Callithrix jacchus: one gene and its partner. The protein of the gene in region 1 purifies or fractionates together with the protein of each later gene. This does not show direct contact. Links are inferred from orthologs where the notes say so. Each region holds a gene or a part of one and is shown on either strand. Other genes may lie near its edges.

Evidence for each region.
Region 2: the proteins of OSBPL11 (region 1) and VAPB purify together in Homo sapiens (affinity purification with mass spectrometry; 4 studies listed by BioGRID and IntAct, counting the BioPlex papers as one, with this or other methods). This does not show direct contact. The link is inferred for Callithrix jacchus from reciprocal best matches to the Homo sapiens genes OSBPL11 and VAPB.

Annotation. Positions count from the first base shown.
Region 1 is NC_133516.1:77,480,427-77,483,926, forward strand, and holds part of OSBPL11 (oxysterol-binding protein-related protein 11), read left to right. Parts: intron 1-2,406; coding exon 2,407-2,560; intron 2,561-3,500. UniProt on the Homo sapiens protein: Plays a role in regulating ADIPOQ and FABP4 levels in differentiating adipocytes and is also involved in regulation of adipocyte triglyceride storage. Weakly binds 25-hydroxycholesterol. Interacts with OSBPL9 to function as lipid transfer proteins.
Region 2 is NC_133506.1:53,978,822-53,982,749, reverse strand, and holds the start of VAPB (vesicle-associated membrane protein-associated protein B/C), read right to left. Parts: upstream 2,801-3,928; 5' UTR 2,565-2,800; coding exon 2,507-2,564; intron 1-2,506. UniProt on the Homo sapiens protein: Endoplasmic reticulum (ER)-anchored protein that mediates the formation of contact sites between the ER and endosomes via interaction with FFAT motif-containing proteins such as STARD3 or WDR44.

The DNA of each region.
Region 1 (3,500 bases):
CTCCCAAAGTGCTGATATTACAGGGGTGAGCTACTGTGCCTAGCACTTATGAAGTATTGACCCTTAATCATTATGAAATGTTTCTCTTTATCCCTGGTAGTAGTCCTTCTTTGAATTCTACTTTGATAATAAAATTGCCACTTTAAGAAAACTTGAGGGCAAGGTGGCTCATGCCTGTAATTCTAGCACTTTGTGAAGCTGACGCAAGCAGATTGCTTGAGCCCAGGAGTTCAAGACCAATTTGGGCAATGTGGCAAAACCCTATCCCTACAAAAACTACAAAAATTAGTCAGGCATGGTGGTGGGCACCTGTAGTCCTACCTACTCAGAAGGCTGAGGTGGGAGGATCACCTGAGGCTGGAAGTCAAGGCTTCAGTGAGCCATGAGTATGCCATTGTATTCTAGCCTGGGTGACAGAGTCAAGACCCTGTATCAAAAAAAAGAAAAAACTTGGCCAAGTGTAGTGGATCAGGCCTGTAATCCCAGCACTTTGGGAGACCAGGGCAGGAAGATCACTGGAACCGGAAATTTGAGACCAGCCTGGGTAACATAGTGAGACCCCCATCTCTATTGAAAAAAAACAAAACAAAACTTTATCCGAGTATATTTTATATATCATAAAATTCAACTGTTTCAAGTATACCATTCAAAGATTTTTAGTAAGTCTCTGGCTGGGCTTGGTGGCTCATGCCTGTAATGCCAGCACTTTGGGAGGCTGAGGTGGGCGGATCACTTGAGGTCAGGAGTTCAAGACCAGCCTGGCCAACATGACAAAACCCTGTCTCTACTCAAAATACAAAAATTAGGCGAATGTGGTGGCGCATGCCTGTAGTCCCAGCAACTCTGGAAACTGAGGCAGAAGAATTGCTTGTGCCCAGAAGGCAGAGGTTGCAGTGAGCTGAGATGGCACCACTCCACACTCCAGCTTGGGTGACAGTGAGACCCTATCTCAAAAAAAAAAAAAGAAAGATTTTTAGTAACTTTCTTGAGGAGTACAATCATTACCATAAATCAGTTTTAGAATCTTTTTTATCCTACCGTAAGATCCCTCATGTTCATTTACAGTTAATCCCCATTACCTCCCAGCCCAGAGAACTACTAACTTACTTTCTGTCTCTATAAATTTGCCTTTTCTGGATATTGCATATAAATCATACAATATGTGATCTTTTATTCCTGGCTTCTTTCCTTAGTATAACATTTTTGAGGTTCATCCATTAAGTGTGTTGTTTTTTTTTTTTGAGATGGAGTCTCGCTCTGTCACCAGGCTGGAGTGCAGTGGCATGATCTTGGCTCACTGCAACCTCTGCCTCAGCCTCCTGAGTAGCTGGGATTACAGGTGTGTGCCACCACACCCAGCTAATTTTTGTATTTTTAGTAGAGATGGGGTTTCACCATGTTGGCCAGGATGGTCTCTATGTTTTGACATCATCTGCCTACCTTGGCCTCCCAAAATGCTGGGATTACAGGTGTGAGCCACCTTGCCCGGCCCCATGAAGTATTAATTGCATGTATCACTGGTTCATTGCTTTTTATTGCTGAATAGTATTGCACTGTATAGCTATATCACATTTTGCCTATCCATTCACCAGTTGGTGGACATTTCCAGTTTGGGACTGTGATGAATAATACTGCTGTGAACATTCTCCTACAAATCTTTGTGTGGATATTTATTTTCATTTTTCTTGGGTAAATACCCAGAAGTGGAATTGTGGTAGTTTTATGTTTAACATTTTGTATTTTTTTACACATGTATATCCAGTTTTCCCAGCACCGTTTGTTCAACAAACAGTTCTTTCCCTAAAGAATTGTTGTGGCAGTTTTTTCTTTTTTTTTTTTTTTGCTTGAGATTTGTTAAGCTTCACTCTACCTGTGTATGGCCTAGAAACTCTCTGGGCAGTGAGTTAGAGCACTCAGAGGATTCCCCTCATTTGTTTCCTTTCTCAAGGATCACTGTCCTGCACTGTCTTTTGACACTGCTCATTATCTGAAAACCACTATTTTATTATATGTTGCCTGGTTTCCCGGTTGATGAAGGCAGGAAAATAAATGTGTTCCCCATTATTTCATCATGTCCAGAAGCACAGTTGGTCTTGCTTACATTTCAGCTTTGAAAATTTACTTCTCTTTTTACTTGTTAACTTCTAAGTTTTCTAAAAACAAAAATCCTTCTTTTATAACTTGGAAAAATACAAATTTTTTTAAATTAAAAAGCAGAAGCAGCAGCATCCTGCACATAACCATGGGCAGCAGAGTATCATTGTTCTTAGAATTCATAAGCACGAAATTGTAGATGTGATTTAGGAAATATTATTTTATAAAATTACTGTAATTTTGAGGGTATTGATTCTATTTAATTATCTCTTTTAAAGAATGTTTGTAAAATATGTGGTTTTTGGATTACAGGCGATTGTGGAAAAATGTGACAGACTCTCTGAGGGAATCTGAAATTGATAAGGCCACAGAGCATAAGCGTACCCTGGAAGAACGTCAGAGAACTGAAGAAAGGCATCGTACTGAAACAGGCACACCTTGGAAAACCAAATATTTTATTAAAGAGGTATGCTGTACATGTGTTAAAGATAAAACGTATCTCCTTGGTGAGAACTTTGGCTTACTAGGCTTTGTTGAATTGCTACCACTTATACATCTTTATTTTTAAAAGTAGTACAACTATATATAAATACCAATTGTTTTTGAGACCAGCCTGGGTGATCTGTCCCAAAAAAAGAGCCGGGAGCGGTGGCTCACGCCTATAAGTTGGGTGGATCACTTGATCACTGGGTTTCACCATGTTGGCCAGGCTGGTCTCAAACTCCTGACCTCGGGTGATCCACGCACCTGGGCCTCCCAAAGTGCTAGGATTATAGGTGTGAGCCACTGCACCCGGCCAGCTTTCTACTTTTCATTTATTCCTTATGTGACAGACAGTAAGAACCTACCTCTTACTCTTTATTTCACACTTTGTGATGTTGGACAGATAGATGCAGAAAACTGTAGCAAGATAGGACTATTCCATTAAAATAGTGAATTTCTGGATGGTGTTGCGTAACTGCCTGCTGGAATAGTAGATTAGAGATGTAGACTCAGATTTGGGCTCATTTGGGCGGGGCATGGTGTCTTGGGCCTATAATCAATCCCAGCTACTCAGGAGGCTGAGGCAGGAGGATCACTTGAAGCCCAGAGCAGACTGGGCAACATAGCAAGAACTCATCTCTAAAAAAATAAATATAATAAAAGTATTTGGGTGATAAGATGTAAGCAGGGTTTTCTAAGTGGTATGCCAGGGCACAGTGGTGCAGCAGATGCTTTAGAGTGGTCGTGGTATTAGCACCTAATGGTTGCTATTGTGAGAGAGGAATTATTCTGCACAGAGTAACGTTGTTCAGTACTGTTGGAACAGGTGAGAGAGATCAAACTCAATTCTGCATATAGCAGTAACAAGTGGGGATTTATAGCCCACAGGCAGGGTGTGGGAGTAGGTGAAAAATTACTAAGAG
Region 2 (3,928 bases), on another chromosome or scaffold:
GAGTTTGTACTGGGATTTGGGGTTTCAGGGAGTTAATGCAAGAAAGAACTGCTCAAGAAGAATCAACATAATTGTAACTTGGACACTGGGTGCATCTATGCATAAAGGGACTGAGAAGATCTGACTCTTGTCTACTTACCAGCCTTGTCTCCCTTCTTACCAGGCAACCACAAAAAATGTTCTTTGTTGCTGTCATTCAGAACTACTAGTGGTGGCCAGGCGCGATGGCTCACACCTGTAATCCCAACACTTTGGGAGGCCAAGGAGGGCGGATCACTTGAGGTCCGGAGTCTGAGACCAGCCTGGCCAACATGTTGAAACCCAATCTCTACTAAAAATACAAAATTTAGCCAGGGGTGGTGGCACAGGCCTGTATGTAATCCCAGTTACTCAAGAGGCTGAGGCAGGAGAATCACTTGAACCTGGGAGGCAGAGGTTGCAGGGACATGGTGCTCTGCACTCCAGCTTGGGTGACAGCGAGACCTCTATCTCAAAACAAAACAAAACAAAACAAAACAAAACAAAACCTACTAGTGTCATCCCAAAGGAGCCAGTCAAGTGTTTGTGCCTCAGTGCATACAATTTCCTCTGCCTGAAACATCCCCGCCCCCCCGCCTTTCCTTCTTTGAAACTTTTTCTACTTCAACTTTTTAACTGAGCTCAAATGACACCTCTTTCAGAAGCTGACCTTCTCAATGCTCCCAGAGCACTCTGGATTACCCTACATCACTGACCTGTCCTGGTTGTTATTCTCATCTGCCCCCATTCCCTAAACTACTGGGAGGAGGCTGAGGGGAAAATGGGAGAGTACAACTGATATGACTTGGCTTCTCCCGGTATCTGACACACAGATCAGGTATTCACTAAATGTTTCTGGACTAACTGAAAGAACACGCCAATGCACGGGAGAAGCCAGAACTTCAGACAACTCAAGTGGAAACCATGGCTCACCACATTCACTTTAGCTACCTGGACTCGCTGTCCAGTCTGGCTTCTGCAGAAAGCCAGGAGAACATCAGGAAAGCTCAAGTACTATCCGGGAATTAGGATCCAGGTTTTTGTGGGGTTTTTTGTTTTCTTCATTTTAGTTGGAAAACCTTTGGTTCTCTGTAAATTCAGTTATTTCACATTGCTAACATGGAAGGCAAAGTGACAGCCACAGTTCTGGAGTATTTCCCAGAGATCAGATAGCATAATGGTTATGAGTGTGAACTCTGACATCTGGGTTCAAATGTACCATTTGCCAACTGGGTAACTTTGGGTAAGTTACCCTACACTACTTCCCACCAGGACACATAAACTGGAGAGTCTCTGGCCATTCATTCATTCATACCTACCAACTGAGCATCTACTGTGAGCTTGGTGCTAGCGATATAGTGGTAACCTTGCCTTCCCATCTAAAATACACTTTCATGGAGTCAGACTGTTCCATTTCCTACACAGCACTTAGCACTATCTGCAATGATCTTGTGTGCTGGTTTTTCTGCCCTCGTCGGAAGGTAAGTTCTACTAGAGCAGAGGCCTTGTCTGTCTTGTTCATCCATCATCTACCTCCGCAGTGCTTTCCACATTACTGGATGCACATAAAAAAGAAGGAATGAGCAAGTCAGACAAGAACATTTTGCCTCGTGGTCCTGGTGAAGGTAGGAAAAAAAACAAAAACAACAACATAGAAAACATAAAGGCACAAATGACAAAGATAACGGCATCTGGGAGAAACCACGGTCATGGCTTCCCACCAACTCAGGTGTTGCTCCAGGCTCTGCCAAGAAAAAGGATCCCAGCACCCTGGCAGCCTCCCTCAGCAGCACCCAGGAGACAGCATGAGGGAGGCAGCGAAAGTAAAGTGGGTTCGATCCCATCGGAAGTCCTTAGGAGGTTCATTTGTTGGCTCAACAGGTATTTACTAGGCATCTAATGTGTGCTAGGTATACAGTAGCGAACTGACAAGAGCCTGTCCTCATGGAGTTTCCTTTCTAGTGTTGAAACAGTGATTCTGGGCATGAAAAGTGCCGCGTTGACCACGAAACTGGGTGACGGAATGGGGAACGACAGCAGGTGTGCACGGTGGACTGGCTGGTCACAGCAGGCCTCTCTGAACAGGTGACATCTCAGCTAAGCCTTGAGGTCAACACTGTCACAGAGCAGGGGAAGAACCTTCCAGGCAACGGCGGAGGCTCACACTACAGAAGACCACAAACTCGTCAGTAAGTTACAAGGCAATGTGACAAGTGCCTCGAAGGCAGGTCCCGGGAGGCTGAGGGTCGGGGAGGCGGCGCAAGCCCCGGCTCTGGCACCAGACCTCTCGGGCCGTCTCGGGTCGCGGCAGCTCCAGGCAGTTCTGCGGCGTGCCGCGAGCGCCACGGCCCAACCGGGCCCCGCCGCCCCCCGCGACTGCGCCGTCAGGGTGGGGACGAGGGCCGACGTCACCCGCCGCGCCCGACTCAGTCCCTTCAGCACTGGGGCGGGGGCCGCGGGCCAGAAGGTGGCGGCCTCCGGGGCTTACCTCGGAATTTGAGCTCGTGCTGCGGCTCGAGGCTCAGGACCTGCTCCACCTTCGCCATGTTCCTCAGCGGCGGAGCACCTTTGGCGGGGAGACCCCTGAGAGGTCACCGGGGCGGGAAGCGTTAATGCTGCGCCCGCTTTTAGTTTTACAAAAAGGCGGAGGCCAGTCGGGGCACGGGAGGGGTTGTCGACGGGGTGAGCGCGCGGAGCGGGGGGGGGTCAGTCTACGCGGTGCAGGCGCAGGGGCGGAGGGCGAGGGCGAGGCCGCGGTGCCCGGCGAGCTGACGGCACGCACGGACGCACGCACGCACGCACGCAGAGACGTACACACGCACGCACGCACGCAGCAGGCTAGCCCGCTCGGACGGCGGGAAGCTGCGCCCTGCGCAGCCGGCTCCAGGGGCGGGGACGAAAGCTGCGCGCGTGGAGCCCCTCCCGGGACAGTGCGCAGGCGCGGCAGAAGCCACAGGGGCGGGACTGCGGAGCAGCAAGGGGCGGGGCCTCGCGCAGCTCAGGAGGCGGGGTCTGTAGTCCAGCTACTATGATAGCCATGGCGAAAACTATTAAGGGACCAATGGGGGCCAGCCTCGTCTTAAGTGCTTTATTCAATAGTAGCAATTGGTAAGAATAAACTTCCACTTTTCTCTTGCTTATGTAGTGCCAGGCACTGTTAGAAACTTTGAATAATAGTAAAAGTACTTAGTATAAACATGATGTTTATGACTGAGTGATGTGCTAGGCACTGTGACATCTTGTAAATAATAATTATAAATATAATAAACTACCAATTATTGCCTTTATATGTTGTGCTACTCTGCTGAATGCTTTCAATAACAACAGCAACTACAATAAATACAAGCTGCTCTACATTAAATGTTTACTATGCAACTGGCACTGTGCTGAATTCTTTACTAATTAGATTTGTTTATGCAACAAATATTTAGAAATTTGTTCAATGATCAGAAAAGCTAACCTGATTCCAACCCTCTTACAATAGCCTAGTGAAGAGACATCTGTTGAATACGTAACCACACAAGTAAGTTAAATAATTAAAAATTGATGGGAAATCCAGATCTGCTTGACCTAAAAGTGGATGCTCTACATCAGGATTACCATTTAAATTGTATTTCATTATATTATGTATGCTGTGGAAGTAAAATAGGTGTTCTTAATAGTCTCCTATACATACCTATAGAGGTGAAACAAACATGGCAAATAGCTAACAATGGCTGACTCTACGTCACAGGCATGTAATTTTCTTGTACTGTTCCTCCCACTTTTCTGTATACTTGAAATGTGTCATGACAAAAAGATTTCTTAAAAGAATAATCTTTGTATTTTACCTGGAGCATTTAGTCCATTTACATTTATTATATTTACTAACATATCTGGAATTATTTCTACCATTTTATTTTGTTATTTC